Linked DNA regions of Macaca fascicularis. Each later gene encodes a partner of the first gene's protein in a complex. Links are inferred from orthologs where the notes say so. Each region holds a gene or a part of one and is shown in the gene's direction. Other genes may lie near its edges. The genes, in order: TPRKB, GON7 and OSGEP.

The links.
Region 2: TPRKB (region 1) and GON7 share a complex: the UniProt entries of both Homo sapiens proteins name them as parts of the EKC/KEOPS complex. The link is inferred for Macaca fascicularis from reciprocal best matches to the Homo sapiens genes TPRKB and GON7.
Region 3: TPRKB (region 1) and OSGEP share a complex: the UniProt entries of both Homo sapiens proteins name them as parts of the EKC/KEOPS complex. The link is inferred for Macaca fascicularis from reciprocal best matches to the Homo sapiens genes TPRKB and OSGEP.

The regions. Positions count from the first base shown.
Region 1 is NC_088387.1:48,236,085-48,242,402, forward strand, and holds the start of TPRKB (EKC/KEOPS complex subunit TPRKB), read left to right. Parts: upstream 1-1,945; 5' UTR 1,946-2,005; intron 2,006-4,564; 5' UTR 4,565-4,586; coding exon 4,587-4,727; intron 4,728-6,318. UniProt on the Homo sapiens protein: Component of the EKC/KEOPS complex that is required for the formation of a threonylcarbamoyl group on adenosine at position 37 (t(6)A37) in tRNAs that read codons beginning with adenine.
Region 2 is NC_088381.1:161,205,284-161,211,619, reverse strand, and holds the start of GON7 (EKC/KEOPS complex subunit GON7), read left to right. Parts: upstream 1-2,429; 5' UTR 2,430-2,487; coding exon 2,488-2,695; intron 2,696-5,734; coding exon 5,735-5,829; 3' UTR 5,830-6,336. Other genes in the region: putative E3 ubiquitin-protein ligase UBR7, read right to left, coding at 2,084-2,233. UniProt on the Homo sapiens protein: Component of the EKC/KEOPS complex that is required for the formation of a threonylcarbamoyl group on adenosine at position 37 (t(6)A37) in tRNAs that read codons beginning with adenine.
Region 3 is NC_088381.1:88,042,541-88,049,206, reverse strand, and holds the start of OSGEP (tRNA N6-adenosine threonylcarbamoyltransferase), read left to right. Parts: upstream 1-3,000; 5' UTR 3,001-3,152; coding exon 3,153-3,267; intron 3,268-5,637; coding exon 5,638-5,757; exon of another isoform or gene 5,758-5,810; intron 5,811-5,935; coding exon 5,936-6,111; intron 6,112-6,666. Other genes in the region: DNA repair nuclease/redox regulator APEX1, read right to left, coding at 401-918, 1,049-1,241, 1,741-1,928, 2,134-2,191. UniProt on the Homo sapiens protein: Component of the EKC/KEOPS complex that is required for the formation of a threonylcarbamoyl group on adenosine at position 37 (t(6)A37) in tRNAs that read codons beginning with adenine.

The DNA.
Region 1 (6,318 bases):
GTGTTAAGTCAATCTGAGAAGACAAACCTCCGCCTCCAGGTACTAGGAGGTTGGTGGGCATATGGAATGGACTAGCTGTGCTAAGGGGGATAATCTGGGTTAAGGGCATAGACTGCAGGATAGTTCTCCAGGTGGCCTTGGACAAACTTAGTTCTTTCTCCTTTCTCACTTGTGGTTCTCTAGGATAACTGTAGAATGTGCTGGGAATGTAGCATCCTGTGATAAAGAGAGACTAACCAGAACAGCCAGGGCCCTGTTCCAGTCTGTCCTAGAAATAGAATGTCCTTCATATATATACATACATACACACACACACACACACACACAATATATATATATATATATTTTAGAGGGAGTTTCACTCTTGTTGTCCAGGCTGGAGTGCAATGGCACAATCTTGGCTCACAGCAACCTCTACCTCAAAGGTTCAAGCGATTCTCCTGCCTCAGTCTCTCGAGTTGCTGGCATTACAGGTACGCACCACCATGCCTGGCTAATTTTTTTATTTTTTAGTAGAGATGGGGTTTCTCCATGTTAGTCAAGCTGGTCTCGAACTCCCAACCTGAGGTGATCTGCCCACCTCGGCCTCCCAAAGTATTGAGATTACAGGCGTGAGCCACCACGTCCGGCCGAATGTCCTTCATGTTTTAGCCCAGTGTGTCATGCCTCCCCATCTTTTTCCCCCACCCCGCCCCCCACAATTAGGCTGTTCTTGCATTGCTACAAAGAAATATCTGAGACCGAGTAATTTATATAGAAACCAGGTTAAATTGGCTCATGGTTCTGCAGGCTGTACAGGAAGCATAGTACCAGTATCTGTTTGGCTTCTAAGGAGGCCCCAGGGAGCTTTTACTTTTGGCAGAAGGAGAAGGGCGAGCAGGCACATCACACGGTGAGAACTGGAGCAAGAGACAGTGTGTGTTTGGGGGTGCCACACACTTCTAAAGAACCAGATCTCCCTAGAACTCACTCACTATTGCAAAGACACCAAGCCATAAGAGATCCACCTACATGACCCAAACACCTCCCATCAGGTCCCACCTCCAACACTGGGGATCACAATTCAACATGAGATTTGGCAGGGACATACATTCAAACTGTATCAATCCATCCCTGGACCCCCAAATCTCATGTCCTTCTCACATTGCAAAACATAATCATGACTTCCCAATCATCCCCCAAAGTTTTAACTTGTTCCAGCATTAAACTCAAAAGTCCAAAGTCCAAAGTCCAAAGTGTCACAGGAGACAAGGCCCAGAAAAAGAACGAAGAAGTCTCAGCAGGGCGTGGGGGTTCACGCCTGTAATCCCAGAACTTTGGGAGGCCAACGCGGGCTGATCACGAGATCAGGTGATCGAGACCATCCTGGCTAACACGGTGAAACCCCGTCTCTACTAAAAATACAAAAAATTAGCCGGGTGTGGTGGTCCGTGCCTGTAGTCCCAGCTGCTTGGGAGGCTGAGGCAGGAGAATGACTTGAACCCGGAGGCGGAGGTAGCAGTGAGCCGAGATTGCGCCACTGCACTCCAGCCTGAGTAACAAAGCGAGACTCTGTCTCAAAAAACAAACAACAACAACAAAAAAGAAATCTCGAGCAGCGGAAATGTATGTAGAACTCATTTTGGTCGGTACTTTTCCTTGTACAGGAAGAAACTGAGGAAGCCCGGTGCAACGCCCAACACTGATTAACACAAAGCCGAGACTCAAAACCGGACCTCAACTTCCGGTGCCAGCCCATATATGCTTCCATTGCCTTCGCCGGAAGTGATATACAGCCCCTATTCTCCTTCGCGTCCGTTGACGGGACCCAGGCTGGGAGGGCGGAAGAATGGGCGGCACGATGGGCGGAAGCACTCCTCTTACGGGGACCCGGAAAAACATGGCCACCTCGAGCCGGCCTATCCGGAAACTGTCTCGAAGAAGACGGGGATTGGCCATCGCTTCCGGAAGTTGTGAGCTTTGTTTCCGAGCGGGAGATCTTCCGAGACGCGCTGGGGGCTGAATGGTGAGTTTTCTTTGCCCACTTACGGGGCGGCTCGGGAGGGGAGGGTTCGGGCCGATTTAGTAATGTCCTTGGGACTATGGCTGCGGGTTCTTAAACTGGTATTTATCAAGCGCCAACGAGGCCAGCCCCTGGGAATGCAGCACGAGAATGATAGTCAGTCTGTCCCCTCAAGAAATATAGTTTAGTGAGGAGACATGCAACGGATAGGCGCACGATTCTTTAAAGTTGTGATTGGGCCCAAAAAGGAGCTAGTCCTCAAGACTAAAAAGAGCCGAAGTCCCGGAGTTGTGGGCGCTGAAGTAAATGATTCCAAATGGAGTTGAAAGGAGGGAGGAGTGCGTCAGGCGGAGATGAAAGGAGAGAGGGAACTACCTGTCCGATAGGGCAGAATCGGGGAGAAAGCTTGGTGACTTGAACTTAGAGAAGGCCATTGCGGCGGTAGCAGAAGAGGGAGGCAGGGACCAGATCGTAGAGTATGGAACACCGTGACGCAAAGTTGGGGGTTTATCATAAGAGCAGCAGAATGGCAAGATCTGATGGTCATTTTGAAAGGATCACTAGAACTGCGGGTGAAGACTGGATTATAGGAGGGCAGGAATTGTGAGAAACCACTCAGGAGGCTACTGCTGTAGATGAGCGGTGTGACCTAGCTTATGGGAGAGAAGTGGACGAATCAAAAGTATATTTAGCAGGTGAAAATTCAGGACTTTACGGATTAGATATAGGATTTGAGTGACAGGTTGGGTACTCAACGATGATTCCAGGTTTCTGGACTGAGTGAATTATGCTAAACAAGAAGAAACTATTTTGAGATTTTTCTAAGGATTCTTTCCCCCACCCCCAGTGTTAAAAACCACATTTTTTTCCCCTTTCTTATGATGTCTACTCATGTGTTGTATGCTCACTGTAGAAAATTCAGAACATACATAACAAAATACTTTCTTTTGTATAAAGGACAATAAAAATCACCTCATAACCTCACTACCCAAGATGGTCATATTTTAGTGTTTCCTTCATGTGTTTTTAAAAAATATGTGTATCTTTTTATATATTGGTATCCTACTGATTATATCTTTGTGTATCCATTTTTTTCCTCTTAGCATGAGTAATGATTGAACTGTGGCCAGGATATTGTTCACAAATATTTTTTTTCCTGTTTGTAGCAGAAAAAGTCAAGTTGATTCTAAGTAAGAGATAACGTTAGCTTTCTGGTGTGTTTTCTTTGTAATATTTGTTTAAAAGCTTTTTAAAAAACTCACATGTTGGCCAGTTTGTGTTTTGTTTTCCATTCAGATGTTTTTACTTAATGTTATTTATTGCCATTTTTACACAACGTCAAGACCACATGTTTTAATGGTTGTTAAATCACAACCAATCCCATCATTAGCTAGATAGGTTATTTTCAACTTTTTACTGTTAAAATAATGAGAGGAACATCTTATATAATTCTTGGATTCCTAATGACTTCCATCAGTAAGAGTTCTAGAAATATAATCTGCCAGGTAAAAGGATAAAATGAGTCTCAAATTGCCCCACCAAAATATCTTATTAAGAATTTGATAGAACTTGTTTTAAAGAAATTTTTGCAATACATAGTTTTTCCATTCAAAGATATGGTCATGTCTTTCTAGTTAATTCAAATTGTCTTTTATGTCTTTATATATAATAACCTATCCTTTTCTTGTTAAGCTTATGTCCAAGAAAGGAGCAATATTGATTATTTAATACCCTCTCTGCTTAATTTCCATGTGTGGAATTAATATCTTTGGGTCAAGTGTGATACTTTATTCTTTTTTTTTTTTTTTTTGAGACTGAGTTTCACTCTTGTTGCCCAGGCTGGAGTGCAATGGTGCAATCTTGGCTCACTGCAACCTCCGCCTCCCAGGTTCAAGTGATTCTCCTGCCTCAGCCTCCTGAGTAGCTGTGATTACAGGCATGTGCCACCATGCCTGGCTAATTTTTTTGGTATTTTTAGTAGAGATGGGGTTTCTTCATGTTGGTCAGACTGGTCTCAAATTCCCGACCTCAGGTGATCTGCTCTTCTTGGCCTCCCAGAGTGCTGGGATTACAGGCGTGAGCCACCATGCCCGGCCTGCTTTATTCTTTAAAATTATTTTCTTCCTTAATATTTAGTCTAGGCCTTCCTAAAATATAAATAAAATGATGAGATCAGGAATTTAAAAAGACTAAGATAGAGTAAGACTTCATTAATACCATAAATAACCTCTGGTTTAAAAAATTCCTGACATTCTGCTCCTGCTTGTCTGCTGGGGAAGCAGCCCTTCAACCATGCATCTGAGCCTGCCTTATCTGAACAAACAGCAACCAGCTGGGCCCTTTGGCGTTTCCCTGGGAATGGCAGTGGAACTAGAAACAGCTCAAAAGGGTTAGGAAGACAACATCTCATGAGGATGCCAAATGGGCTTTGGCGATGGATTTTTCTAATTTAAAACTTTTTATCATGTTGTTATCAAAGTTATTGAATATTTGTTAAGAAATGAGTTATAATGTTAACTTTTAAATAAACGAAATCTTTTGGTCTTTTCATTTTGTGTGCAGTAGAATCCTGCTTATCTGTGAAATGCAGTTAACACATCAGCTGGACCTATTTCCTGAATGCAGGGTAACCCTTCTGTTATTTAAAGATGTAAAAAATGCGGGAGACTTGAGAAGAAAGGCCATGGAAGGCACCATCGATGGATCACTGATAAATCCTACAGTGGTAAATATAAATTGTAAGAATGAATGAGCTGGCTGGGTGCGGTGGCTCATGCCCATAATCCCAGCACTTTAGGAGGCCGAGGTGGGTGGATCACCTGAGGTCAGGAGTTGAAGACAAGCCTGGCCAACATAGTGAAACCCTGTCTCAACTAAAAATACAAAAATTAGCTGGACGTGGTGGCGGGTGCCTATAATCCCAGCTACTCGGGAGGCTGAGGCAGGAGAATCATTTGAACCCGGGCGGCGGAGGTTACGGTGAGTCAAGATTGCGCCATTGCACTCCAGCCTGGGCGACAAGAGTGAAACTGTCTCAAAAAAAAAAAAAAAAAAAAAAAAAAAAAAGCCAGGCGTGGTGGCTCACGCCTGTAATCCCAGCACTTTGGGAGGCCGAGGTGGGCAGATCACGAGGTCAGGAGTTTGAGACCAGTCTGGCCAATATGGTGAAACCCTGTCTCTACTAAAAATACAAAAATTAGCTGAACGTGGTGGTGGGCACCTGTACTCGGGAGGCTGAGGCAGGATAATCGCTTGAGCCTGGGAGGCAGAGGTTGCAGTGAGCCGAGATCACGCCACTGCACTCCAGCCTGGGCAACAGAGCAAGACTGTGTCTCAAAACAAAACAAAACAAACAAACAAAAAAACAATGAATGAACCATACAGGCCATTTAAGTATACGTTAATATTTGTGATGTTATAGGGTAGCCTAAAATTCTGTCACTGTTAGGGAAAAAATTCTTGTCCAAGTCAGATGCAGCCAACCTGGACTATAACAGTGAATAGAGGCAGAAGTGCCAGGTCCTGCCCTAGGAAGGAGGAAAGGTTGTGGTCTGGGTCTAACATGGGAAATGCCTGGATCTCCAGCTTCTTATCTTTAAAATGGGGGTTCTTAACAAGACAGTCTGTAGAGGAGGCATAGCGTAGTGGTTAAGAGCACACACAGAGGCCAAGGGGTGTGGATTGCTTGAGGCCAGGAGTTTGAGACCAGTGTGGCCTACATAGTGAAACCCTGTCTCTACTAAAAATACAAAAAGTAGCTGGGCATGGTGGTGTGTGCTGGTAGTCCCAGCTACTCGGGAGGCTGAGGCACAAGAATCACTTGAACCTGGGAGGCGGAGGTTGCAGTGAGCTGAGATTGAGCCACTGCATTCCAGCCTGGGCGATGGAGCGAGACTCTGTCTCAAAAAAAAAAAAAAAAAAGCACAGGCAGTGGGATCATGTTACTGGGAATTAATCCCAGACCTACTACTTAGGACTTTGAACAAGACATAGCCAACCTTTATATAGTGCTTACTGTATTCCTAGTATTGTTCCAAGTGCTTTACGTATACTAACTCGCTTAATCTTCACAACAGCCTATGTAGTAAATACTGTTTCATGTGTCTCTAACAAATAAAATGCTAAGGAACTTGCCTAAGTTCCCTAGGTGATAGGTGGCAGAGATGGGATTCAAACTCAGACATTCTTTGCCTCAATTTCCTCATCAATTACATACTACTACTACTATTAATAGTATTAGTTTCATAGGGTAGTTTTGAGGATTAAAGAAAATAACACAAGTAAAATGTTTGGAATATGATCATGCCCATAATATT
Region 2 (6,336 bases), on another chromosome or scaffold:
CAAACTCCTGGGCTCAAGCAGTTCTCTGCCTTGGCCTTCCAAAGTTCTGGGATTACAAGCATTAGCCATGACACAAGTCAGCACTCCTTTCTTAAAGTGATAGGATGTCTGAATTTGTCAGTCGGCTGTGAATAAATGAATCTGTTTAATCATTTTAACAGGTGAAAACACAGGAGCATATGTATAGGTTTATGTAAGTAATATCACACTTTCATCCTGGAAAATGTTTGTAAATCCACCAAAGAGAGAATCAACACATGCAAAGAATCTCTTTGATTTTTAGGAGATGCATGCTGAAGTATTTAGAGGTATAGTGTCATCATGTCTGCAACTTATTTTTAAATAGTTCAAAATTTTAAAACAACAAATTTTAAGTAGAAAAGGAGATAAATGTGACAAAATGTTAAAAAGTGAATATGTAGGCTGGGTGCAGTGCTCACGCCTGTAATCCCAGCCCTTTGGGAGGCCAAGGTGGGCAGATCACCTCAGGTCACGAGTTCAAGACCAGCCTGGTCAGCGTGGTGAAACCCCATCTCTAAAAAACCCCATCTACTAAAAATATAAAAATTAGCTGGCCGTGGTGGCGGGCATCTGTAATCCCAGCTACTCGGGAGGCTGAGACAGGAGAATCGCTTGAACCCGGGAGGTGGAGGTTGCGGTGAGCCAAGATCATGACATTGCACTCCAGCCTGGGTGGCAAGAGTGAAATTCCATCTCAAAAAAAAAAAAAAAAAGTGAATATGTATAATAGGTATAGTTACCTTCCTCTAGGAAGGAGGAAGAATAGACAAGGAGGCTTCCGGGATGCCAGTAAAATTCTATTTCTTTCTTTTCTCTTTTTTTTTAAGTTCTTTTCCAATAAGCCTTTTGCACTCCTAATGTTCTATTTGTTGATCTGGGTGGTGGGAACATGCACACTTTCCTTTCAAGCTGTGTACATGATTTGTGCAAATTTCCATATTTTTTTTTTACCACAATAAAAAGAAAACATTAAGGGAATCCATTTTATAAAGGTAACTACACTTCAAAAATAGTTTACATACAGACTTAGAACTTTTTTTTTTTTTTTTAAGGAAAGCAGGCGAAAAATTGTTTTAGTGGTGACCAAAGGTTTTAAAGTACCTGGGGCTATGTCTGGATACCAGGTTTATTCAACAATCTAGCACTTTGCAGTGTAAACTAAACTTGGTCAACAACGAGAACTGGTATTATGACCTCAGTTCATACCACATAATGAATGCAAGTCTCTCCTCTCATCTCCCCAGTGTTCCAATCCACCCCTCTGCCTCGGTAACCCTTCTTCCTGCCAGTTCTTATCCTTTGTCAGTCTTCTTCCTACCCATCCTTTTCCATTTTTGTGCCTCGAAGTATAGGGTGAGTCACTAAACACATCACACCCCCTCAAACACTTGCTCACTCACAACGTCTTCCAAATGCCAAATAGATCCTTTTCTCCTCTCTCCCCTCCCCTGCCAGAGCCACTTGCTGTTCTGTTTCCGGTCTATTTCCAGGGGAGGAGGGCAGACTGCAGACAGACATGGGTACTTGCTCCATTTTGCCAAAAAAAGAAAGAAAAAGTACTAGCTAGCACTTGTCAAACTAAATTGCAGAGGAACTAGCTGTCAAGGAGCTCACCGCAAATCCCTATGGATTTGAAAATCTCTTTAACCTGACGTCTCCCATTTGGTCCCTAATAAATAAATAAATAATCTTAGGATGGGAAAAGCAGGGACAAAGATGTCTGGATCTGAGAGGTCGCGGGCTGGTTTCGTGAAAAGCAGTGGTGCACCAGGACGAGGCTGGAGAGGACGGACAGAGCAGCTGCTCCAGGGTCCTTCCTGGCTGGCCGGACAGAGTTAGAGAGAGGGGAGATGGGGGCCCCTGCTGGACACAGGCTGAAGGGGGCCCAGGAGGTTGGGGATAAAAGGGAAGGGTGGGCTTGGGGTAAGGAAGCGGCAGACTAACGGCGGCCCCGGACCACCACTGGGGAGACGACTGCGGCAGGCGGGAATAGGGACAGCCGGGCCGGGAAGGGGAGGTTCGGCGGGAGCCGCGGGAGACAAGGCCCGGGCCGCGTGCCCACCTGCGAGTAGGAGCACTTCTCGGAGTCGCTGCCGCCCAGGACAGCACACGCCTCATTCTCCAGCTCCTCGTCCTCCTCGAGGACGTCGACCAACGATACCACGGGCTCCAGCTCCGACTGCCGCCCAGCGGAGCCCTCGGCTCCGGCCATCCTCAACTGTCACCCGAACCGCGGCTCGGCCCCGGCGGAGGCGGGAAAAGCGGCCACGAGGGGCGTAGCCGGAGGAGGCGGGGCCCGAGTGCCAGGAACCAATGACAAGGAAAAAAGGCGAAGGAAGGGGGAGGAGCGACTTCCGACAAACGGATGTCACTCCTCTCCCTTCTGCCGCCTGCGCAGGCCACGGGCTGATTTCCGCCTCCGGGTGGCGCTTCCCGGTGTCGTGTTCTGGAAGCTTAGTGGTCACCATGGAGCTGCTGGGAGAGTATGTCGGGCAGGAAGGGAAGCCGCAGAAGCTGCGGGTGTCCTGTGAGGCGCCGGGTGACGGCGACCCTTTCCAGGGCCTATTGTCTGGCGTGGCCCAGATGAAGGAGCTGGTAACGGAATTATTCGGCCCCCTGGTACAGGCGGAAGTGCAGCACCGGGTGGCGGCGGCTCCAGACGAGGCCCTGGACGGTGAGCTCTGAGACGGTGCTGCAGCGACAGGAGGACGGGGCGGGAGCCAGGGGAAATTGGCTTGGGGAGCCCGTGTAGAGTGGCAGACTTGGACAAAGTGAGCCTCGAGGAAAGAAGAATTGCATCTAAAAATTTTTGGCGGGCCAGGCGAAGTGGGGCTCACTCCTGTAATCCCAACACTTTGGGAGGGCGAGGCAGGAGGATCACTTGAGGTCAGGAGTTCCAGAACAGCCAGGGCAACATATCGAGACCCCGTTTCCATTGTTATTTCAAAGATAATTTAAAAAATAAAAATTGTTGGCATTTATCACTATATTTGGGCTGCTTCTACTCAAACATTTCCACGACTCATCGCTATTTCATTTATTTCACTAAAAAACTTGCCGAATGCCTACTACTATTTGCCAAACCCTGAGCTGAGCCCTGGAGGAAGAATGAGGTCAATGCGACTCAGTTCCTGCCCTTGTGAAACACAAGGGGATTATACAGGCAGACACTCTTATTAAAAGTGAAAGTGGCCAGGCTGGTAGCTCACGCCTGTAATCCCAGCACTTTGGGAGGCTGAGGCGAGCGGATCACGAGGTCAGGAGTTCGAGACCAGCCTGGCCAATATGGTGAAACCCTGTCTCTACTAAAAATACAAAAATTAGCTGGGAGTGGTGGCGGGCACCTGTAATCCCAGCTACTGGGGAGGCTGAGGCAGAAGAATCGCTTGACCCCGGGAGGCGGAAGTTGCAGTGAGCCGAGATCGTGCCACTGCACTCCAGCCTGGACTACAGAGCGAGACTCCGTCTCAAAAAAAAAAAAAAAAGAACGTGGTTCTATGGCCCTCTGTAAGTGTTGCAAACCCAGAGACCCTCGGAAGGCTTCAAAGAGGATAAGACTTTTGAGCTGGAGTATTGAATAAAAAGGAGTTTTATCAGGTGTGAAACTACAGACATATTTGGAAGAGTACAATCTATCGCAGAGTAGGAACAGGTTCCAAGGAGTGGGACAGACTTAATTTTAACATGTATTAACTCCTAGAGACTCCCTTGCCTTTCCAGTTTTGTAGGTGCAGTTTGAAAGTAGAAACGTGAAGTTTAACTGCATTATTTTTTAAAAATTGCCTCGAATGCAGAAATAGGCAGGTACTTTTTTTTTTTTTGAAATGGAGTCTAGCTCTGTTGCCCAGGCTGGAGTGCAGTGGCACAATCTCGGCTCACTGCAACCTCTGCTTCCCGGGTTCAAGTGATTCTCCTGTCTCAGCCTCCCAAGTAGCTGAGATTACAGGCGCCCGCCACCACTCCCAGCTAGTTTTTGTATTTTCAGTAGAGACAGGGTTTCACTGTGTTGGCCGGGCTGGTCTCGAACTCCTAACCTCGTGATCCACCTGCCTTGGCCTCCCAAAGTGCTGGAATTACAAGCCTGAGCTGCTGCACCTGGCCAGGCAGGTACATTTTAACTGTCCTGAGCTGAAAAATCCAAGAATAGATATTAGAGTTAGGATTTACAATTCTCTAAGAAGAGCTTAAACTGTACTTTCCTTCCATCTTGGGAATTACATCTTGATAATATGGATGTTGGCTATGATCAAAAAGAACAATAACAAGTGTTGGCTGGAATGTGGAGAAATTGGAGATCTTGTACATTGTTGGTGGAAATGTAAAACAGTGTAACCACTGGGAAAAAGAGTTTGGTAGCTCCTCAAAAAGTTGATATGAAGTTACCACATGACCCAGCAGTTCCACTGGTAGTCCTCGCAAGAGAACTGGAAAGTATGTTCACACAAAAACTTACACATGAATGTTCATAGCAGCAGCATTTATAGTGACTAAAATGTGGAAACAACAATTGACCGGGCTTGGTGTTGCACCTTTAGGAGGTGGGAGGATCACGTGAACCCAAGAGTTTGAAGCTGCAGTGGGCTGATTGTTCCACTGCACTCCAGCCTGGAGGACAGAGTGAGGCCCCATCGCTTCATCTCTAAAAATAATGATAATTTTAAAAAATAGAAATAATGCAAATATCCATCAACTGATGAGTGCATTAACAAAATGTGGTGTATCCATACAATGGAATATTATTAGCAATAAAAGGTAATGAAGTATTAATACGTGCTACAACATGAATGAACCTTGAAAACATTATGCTACAGTGAGAGCCAGACACAGAAGGGTACATGTTATATGATTTTGTTTATATGAATGTACAGAATAGGCAAATCCATAGAGAGAGATTAGTGAGCTGGGTGCAGTGGTGGGCACCTGTAGTCCCAGCTACTCTAGAGGCTGACACAGGAGGATCACTTGAACCTGGGAGTTTGAGTCTAGCCTGGGCAACATAGCAAGACCCTCTCACTAATAAAAATTAAGGGGGAACAAAAGTAGATTAGTGGTTGCCGAAGGCTGAGGGAAAGTGACTGCTAATGGGCATAATTCATTTCTCTTTGGAGTGATGAAAGTGTTCTAGGATTAGAGAGTGGTGATGGTTGCACAATCTAGTGAATATACTAAAAACCACTAAGCGGTACACTTTTAAAAGTGGATTTTGGCCGGCTACAGTGGTTCATGCCTGTAATCCCAGCAGTTTGGGAGGCCAAGGCATGCAGATCACGAGGTCGGGAGATCGAGACCATCTTGGCCAACATGGTGAAACGCTGTCTCTACTAAAATACAAAAAATTAGCCGGGCATGGTAGCGCGTGCCTGTAATCCCAGCTACTTGGGAGGCTGAGACGGGAATCACTTGAACCCTGGAGGCAGAGGTTGCAGTAAGCTGAGATCGCGCCACTACACTCCAGCCTGGTAACAGAGAAAGACTCCATCTCAAAAAAAAAAAGAGACTGGATTTTATGATGAATGAGTTAATATTTCCAAAGAGGAAAGTGATAGAAAATAAAGATTTTAAACACTGAAATTCTCAAAATCATTTTAATCTAAAATGTGCATGGTTTTATTAATCTCTAAAGTGAAATGGTCTCGTTATCAACCACTTTAGCTATATATATTTCTTTCAACCATAGAACGTATTGTCATACAACAAATATTTATTTTAAAAGGTGATGATGAAGATGATGCCGAAGATGAAAATAACATTGATAACAGAACTAACTTCGATGGACCATCTGCAAAACGGCCAAAACCACCATCTTAACAATAGCCTTTATGACATTTAAAAGATGGCTGTTGTATCCCAATTGTCACACTAGGACATTTAAGGAAGACTTATGCTCTAATTTGGAAAAGCATTTGTGTTGTTTTCCTGGGACAATTTTGCCAAAGAGAAAACTGGTTTTTCTGTTTCTAGCAAAGACAGTAAAGGCTTAGAAATAAAATCTGTTTTCTTGAGAAATAAATTTCAGACCGTGGGAGGAAAATAGAACACTTCATAATATATAAAATCCTCTTAAGTTGGCAACTGAATTTTTATCATTGTTTTCTATTTTTAAAATAACCATTGGTTTGTGTGATGTCTACATCTTTTAACTTCTGCTTCTGTTATAAACAGTACGTCATGGTTCATAGGCAGTAACATTTCAGAGAACTGACATGAACAAGTGGTGAAAAGTGGGCATTAAATGTAAAAATAACAGTTCTTCATAAATAGAAGGAAAATGAGGAAATAGAAATACTGAAGAGAGAGTCCTTGAAAGAGACCCAA
Region 3 (6,666 bases), on another chromosome or scaffold:
TTAGGGACTTATCCTGTGCTTGTAAATAAATAAGGTCATGACTCTACCCTTTTTCAGTTGTTAACTTGTATGCACGAAAATACGAGGAAGGGAATGTGTAGCCCCACGAAGGGGTAAGACACAAAGACAGCAAGGCTGAAACTATGGCTCTTTATTTTTGTGTGGATAATTCAAACAAAGTCATTAGTAGTCTTTGTTCAGTTTTTCTTAAAAAAGAAAAAACCCTCAAATAAAAACTCTTGGGCTTAAAAGAACTCTAAATCTGTCACAGGAGCCTGGTTGTAGGATTCTTATTTTTATAGATGAGAAATACAATGCAGATTTCTCTGAAGAGTGTTTAAAGAAGGAATGGTAGTTGAGGGGGCTTATTTCCCAGGCTCAAAGTGATTTAGGGGTGGTGTCACAGTGCTAGGTATAGGGTGATAGGACAGTGATCACTGCCGAGGGCCTTGGAACGGATCTTGCTATCACACAATGCAGGTAACAGAGAGTGGGACAACAAAAAGTAATCAAGGCGCCAACCAACATTCTTGGATCGAGCATTCATCATGTAAGTCCAAAAGGTGTAGGCATAGGGTGTGTTGGGGTAGAGGTGCCTAAAGCTGTCAGCCAGTGGCACAGCCTGCAGTAATTCCCCAAAGCCTTGGCGCTCTTGTGGCGTGAAGCCAGCATTCTTTTTGTTACCCTTGGGGTTGCGAAGGTCAATTTCTTCATGTGCCACATTGAGGTCTCCACACAGCACAAGGGGCTTTCGGGAAGCCAAGCCCTTCAGGAACTTGCGAAAGGCTTCATCCCAGCGCTGCCGGTACTCCAGTCGTACCAGACCCCGGCCTGCATTAGGTACATACGTTGTTACCAGCACAAACGAGTCAAATTCAGCCACAATCACCCGGCCTTCCTGATCATGCTCCTCCTCGCCTACAGAAACGAAACAGAATTAGCATAAAAAACTGTAAGAAAAGGAAAAGCAATCAAGAGGTGGGGGAGAGATGGAGAATTAGCAATTGGTCTTGAAGAGTTCAGGCATTAGGCATCAATAGGGTCTCACCTATGCCATAAGAAACTTTGAGTGGGCAATGGCGGGAAAGTAGGCCCACGCCACTGTATCCTTCCTTGTCCGAAGGAGCGGACCAGTATTGATGAGAGAGTCCAGGCAGCTCTTGAAGTTCAGCTGGTAGTTTGTTCTCTGAACATTTGGTCTCTTGAAGGCACAGTATATCTGGGGCTTCTTCCTTTACCCACTATAAGTAAAAGAAAGGTGGAAAATGTATTATCAATTCAGCAGAACATTTATTGAATATATGCTAAGTCATAAATATGCACAGGTTAAACAGTCAAGCAGTTCGAGGTTAAATAATATTTAAACAATTCGAAGCTAGATAAATGAAAACAGAGGTAAAGTCTTACGTGCTATACTATGAATGTGTTTTTTCTATAGGCAAGCTAAGATTTTTAAGCTATAATTAATGAAATGGAGGACATGCTGAAGATAAAATGGAGGAAGTATAGTAAAAGGTTTTTGCAACATTCTGGGAAGAGGAGAGAACATTAAAAAAGAAAATGGCAATGGAAGTGAAGGAGCAGACATTTAGGAAATACAACTGGCAAGACTGGGGAAGCCCCACCGAAAACTGCAGGCAGGAGAAAAAACAGCCTGAAGGCTATACGGAGAAAAGGGATGACTAAACCCTAAGATCATTCAATACTAAAGAATGTGTCTTCCCCTCAAACACCACTCACATCTAATCCTTTCTTCTTAATCCAGGCTCGAAGCCCATCCACGTTCCAAGAGCAGATCTTGAGTGTGGCAGGTTTGCCACTGGGTGAGGTTTTCTGATCGGGGGGGTCCTCATACAGGGCTGGGCCCTCTCCTGCTGCCTCCTTGTCATTTTTCTTTGCGGGCGTCTTACTCTTCTTGGGCTCTGGCTCTATAAAATGAGTAATATATATTGACAAAAAGTGGGTGGTTTCCAACCGCGATCCGGCGTTAGCTATGGACCCAACGAAAGCCTGCGGTTACTGCGTCTTCACAAACCCCTGCAAAAATGAGTTGGCCGGTACTTACCGTTCATCAAGGGAATTACAAACAACCCCGCCGTAGCTTCTAGGAAGAGGGGCTCATTTCATTCTTACCTGTCTTGAGCTCATCCCCGTCTTCTGCCACCGCTCCCTTTTTCCCACGCTTCGGCATTCCCGTAACGAACGCTCTTCGGCACCTGTACCGCGTCGCCCACCAAAGCAGTATTTTTACCGCGTTGCCTACAGACGCAAAGAAATCATGAAACCAGCTAAGCCTGGGGAGAAGACTCCTCTCAAGAGCGTCCCCGCACCAGGTCCCGCCTTTCAAACCATGTTATCTCTAAATCCTTTCCCCGCCTCCGTGCATCATAGGCCCTTCAGCCCCTCACCCACGTAACTAGATCATTTCATAGTGCCTTGTACCCTACTCGCGAGATCTGCCCTCCAGCCAATTGAGGATCTTAATTAAGGGTCCTGACTCAAGCTTGCCCTTCAGACTGCCAGCGAAGCCCCTCTTATGAGCAAAAGAGCAACCCCGTATCTGCACCGGTCCGATGGCAGCCTAGCTCCTCCTAACCCGAGCACAAAGAAGGATGCACGCTGAGCCCCCCACGTGGGTAGCGGACCTGGTCACGTGATCAGAGGCACGCGTCACATGGCCGAAGAATGCGCGTGATTGGTCTGTCTGACACCACGTGACGAAGTCGCTTGGCCTTGCCTCTCTCAACTAATTCTCTAGGAGACCTAGGGCCCCAACCCTCGTTCGGGCTGTTTATCGTTGTGCCCGACGCACGGCACATTGTTTGACTCTGACTTAAGAGTCTAACGCTGTGCAAAGGGAAAAAAAAGTGGAGAAGGTTGGGCTGGACCACGGGAAAGATATAGGAAAACGGACAGGATTGTAAAGCACAGAGTCGGCTCGGCGTCCCTGGCAGTTAGGAAGACAGGTCCTTGGAGGGGCCTTGGCGGGTCTCCGCTCGCGGGAGTTCTGCGCTGTCTTTCCCACTGTTATCTGCAGGCTAGCCCGCTTCCTCTGCGCTCCGGAAAGCTGCGGCCCAGCGCAGACTAGTGAGGACTTCCACAGCTCCTGACGTTGCTAGGAGTCCTGTCGGCGTTTTCTCCCAGGCTCCGCCATGCCGGCGGTGCTGGGTTTTGAAGGCAGCGCCAATAAGATTGGCGTGGGTGTGGTGCGGGATGGCAAGGTGCTGGCGAACCCGCGGCGGACTTATGTCACGCCTCCGGGCACAGGTGGGTGAGTAGGGGAGTTAAGAGTTTTCGGCGCACTTCCCCGCAGAAAATCAGCCTTCCATCTTCCTAAATACTAGTGAGGTGCAGCTTTTGATCTGAGTCTTATTGAAATTATGTGATATTATTAACGTCACAAGGCTGATGACTAGAAGAGTTACAAGCACTTGGACGTGGATCTGATGAGTTCGTTTACCGTTTATTGAGCTCATTTTATGTGCTAAGCATTCAGAAATAGATGTTATGATACTGCTGTGGAGTCAGACATATAAATAGATGTTTATACTACAGCATGATAAACAGTGTAATAGAGATGGACTCGAAATATTCTGTTTAAAAAACGCTTAGCAGGAGTATATATTCCAGTTGCCCTGAATATACACTCCTTTTTAAAAAAAATTTATTTTTTGAAATATTCTAGGATGAGTAGAGAGATGAGAGTGGAAAGACTCCCAGCTTACATGTCAGAGAACTGGCTGGCTGTGCTGTATTCACATTAAATATTTATGTTTTGGACATTTGGTCTTTATTTTTTATTTTAATTTGTTTTTGAGACAGTCTTGCTCTGTTGCCCAGGCTGGAATGCAATGGCACGATTTCGGCTTACTGCAAGCTCTGCCTCCCAGATTCAAGAGATTCTTCTACCCCAGCCTCCCGAGTAGCTAGGACTACAGACAGGTGTGTGCTACCACACCCAGCTAATTTTTGTATTTTTAGTAGAGGCGGGGCTTCACCATGTTGGCCAAGCTGGTCTCGAACTCCTGACCTCAGATGATCCGCCCACCCCAGCCTCCCAAAGTGTGAAAATTACAGGCATGAGCCACCGCCCGGGCCTAGTCTTTGTTTTTAAAATGGGAATAATACCTGTATCATTAGGTCTTGAAGATTAGATGAAAGTACCAAATACGTCTGGGTGTGGTGGCTCACGCCTGTAATCCCAGCACTTTGGGAGGCCCAGGCGGGGTGGATCACCTGAGGTCGGAGTTCAAGAACTGCCTGACCAATATGGAGAAACCCTGTCTCCACTAAAAAATACAAAAAATTAACCGGGCGTGGTGGCACATGCCTGTTAACCCAGCTACTCGGGAGGCTGAGGTTGTGGTGAGCCGAGATCATGCCATTGCACTCCAGCCTGGGCAACAAGAGTGAAACTCCGTCTCAAAAAAAAAAAAAGAAAAAAGAAAGTACAAAACACGTTACCACTTTTAATAAGCCATTGTGTCTTGCCTACTCTCCCCTCAAACACTTGCATACATAGGAGAGGGGCGACTGATTTGCATGTATCTGAAAAGCCTCCCTGAACAGGTGATGTGACAGATTACTCATTAGAAATAGGTATGTATGTTTAGCATTCACTCCTCTAGGCACTTGGGCACTGGGAATACAAAGATAAACAAAATACTTACTGCTTTGAGATACTCATGATTAAGCTGAGCAAACCACAGAAAATTATTATGTTGTAATTGTTAAATAAATGACATCATCATGCACAGAGTTCTGTAGGGTCACAGAGAAAGAAGGTCACCAGGCTGGGCGCGATGGCTCAGGCCTGTAATCCCAGCACTTTGGAAGGCCAGGGCAGACGGATCACGAGGTCAGGAGTTTGAGACCAGCCTGGCCAATATGGTGAAACCCCGTCTCTACTAAAAATACAAAAATTAGCTGGGTGTGGTGGCGTCGCCTGTAGTCCCAGCTGTTTGGGAGGCTAAGGCAGAAGAATTGCTTGAACTCAGGAGGCGGAGGTTGCAGTGAGCCGAGATCGTGCCACTGCAGTCCAGCCTGGGCATCAGAACAAGACTCCGTCTCAAAAGAAAGAAAAAAAGGCGGGGCGCGGTGGCTCACACCTGTAATCCCAGCACTTTGGGAGGCCGAGGCGGGTGGATCATGAGGTCAGGAGATCGAGACCACAATGAAACCCCGTCTCTTCTGAAAGTACAAAAAATTAGCCGGGTGCAGTGGTGGGCACCTGTAGTCCCAGCTACTTGGGAGGCTGAGGCAGGAGAATGGCATGAACCCAGGAGGTGGAGCTTGCAGTGAGCCGAGATCGCACCAGGCCACTCTAGCCTGGGTGACAGAGCTAGACTCCGTCTCAAAAAAAAAAAAAAAAAAAAAAAGATCACCAAAGGGTATGGGTAGATACCACTTGCATTGAGACATGAAGGCTGAGTAGGGTAAGAGGAAGAGAATTTCTGAAAGTTGAACAGCCTATATAGAAGCTGGAAAGAGTGTATCCGAAAATGTGGAAGATAGGATGCTTGGGGAAAGTGAAAGGACTCTTACTACATCACTAAACCTCCTGTTGCTTTCTTTAACTTCCTACCTACCTTTGCTACCAAAAATCCCTGTGATCTCTGACCTGTGTTCATTTTCTAGGATTCCTTCCAGGTGATACAGCCAGGCATCACCGAGCTGTTATCCTAGACCTGCTGCAGGAGGCACTAACAGAGTCTGGATTAACCTCCCAGGATATCGATTGCATTGCATACACCAAGGGTATGGCTGGGAGAGTGGTCAACGATGGAGGAATATACCTGCAACCTGGCTAGGTCAAAATAGCCAACACCTTACCTCTGCCACCACCACTACCCCTACCCCACCTCACATCCCTTACTTCCCCCACCTATTTTTTTTCCAATCTCTAGCATTGTAACTTCCATTTCTATCTCCCTAGGCCCTGGCATGGGTGCCCCACTGGTTTCTGTGGCTGTTGTGGCCCGTACTGTGGCCCAACTGTGGAATAAGCCATTGGTGGGTGTGAACCACTGTATAGGCCACATCGAGATGGGCCGCCTCATCACTGGAGCCACCAGCCCAACCGTGTTGTATGTCAGTGGAGGAAATACACAGGTATTTAGAGTGCTCTACCCATTCCATCTCAATTTCCGAGGCACTGAACCAATATCTTCTTCGTTCTATCTGAGTCATGGGAATGTCAGGAACAAAGCTGAACTCATCTGAACCTAAAATACTGTAGACCAGAAAACTCCCAACCGAGTTTGTAACATTGCAAATTTTGGCAGCATGTTCAGAACATTAGATGACTTATCATTATCAGACTTTATATCTGATCATAAAGATTAGGAATTTCTACTTCAGGAAAGGAATGAATGGTAAGGATTGAAGCCTTCAAAATAATGAATATCTGAAAGATCTTGCATTATTTTGAAGCTTATTTTTTCTGTAAATCTTAGCAACTGAAACTAACGGTTACTGGGCATGGCAACTCACACCTGTAATTCCAGCACTTTGGGAGGTCAAGGTGGGTGGATCATCTGAGGTCAGGAGTTTGAGACCAGCCTGGCCAACATGGCAAAACCCCATTTCTACTAGAAATAACAAAAATTAATTTGGCGTGGTAGCAGGTGCCTGTAATCCCAGCAAGTTGGGAGGCTGGGCAGGAGA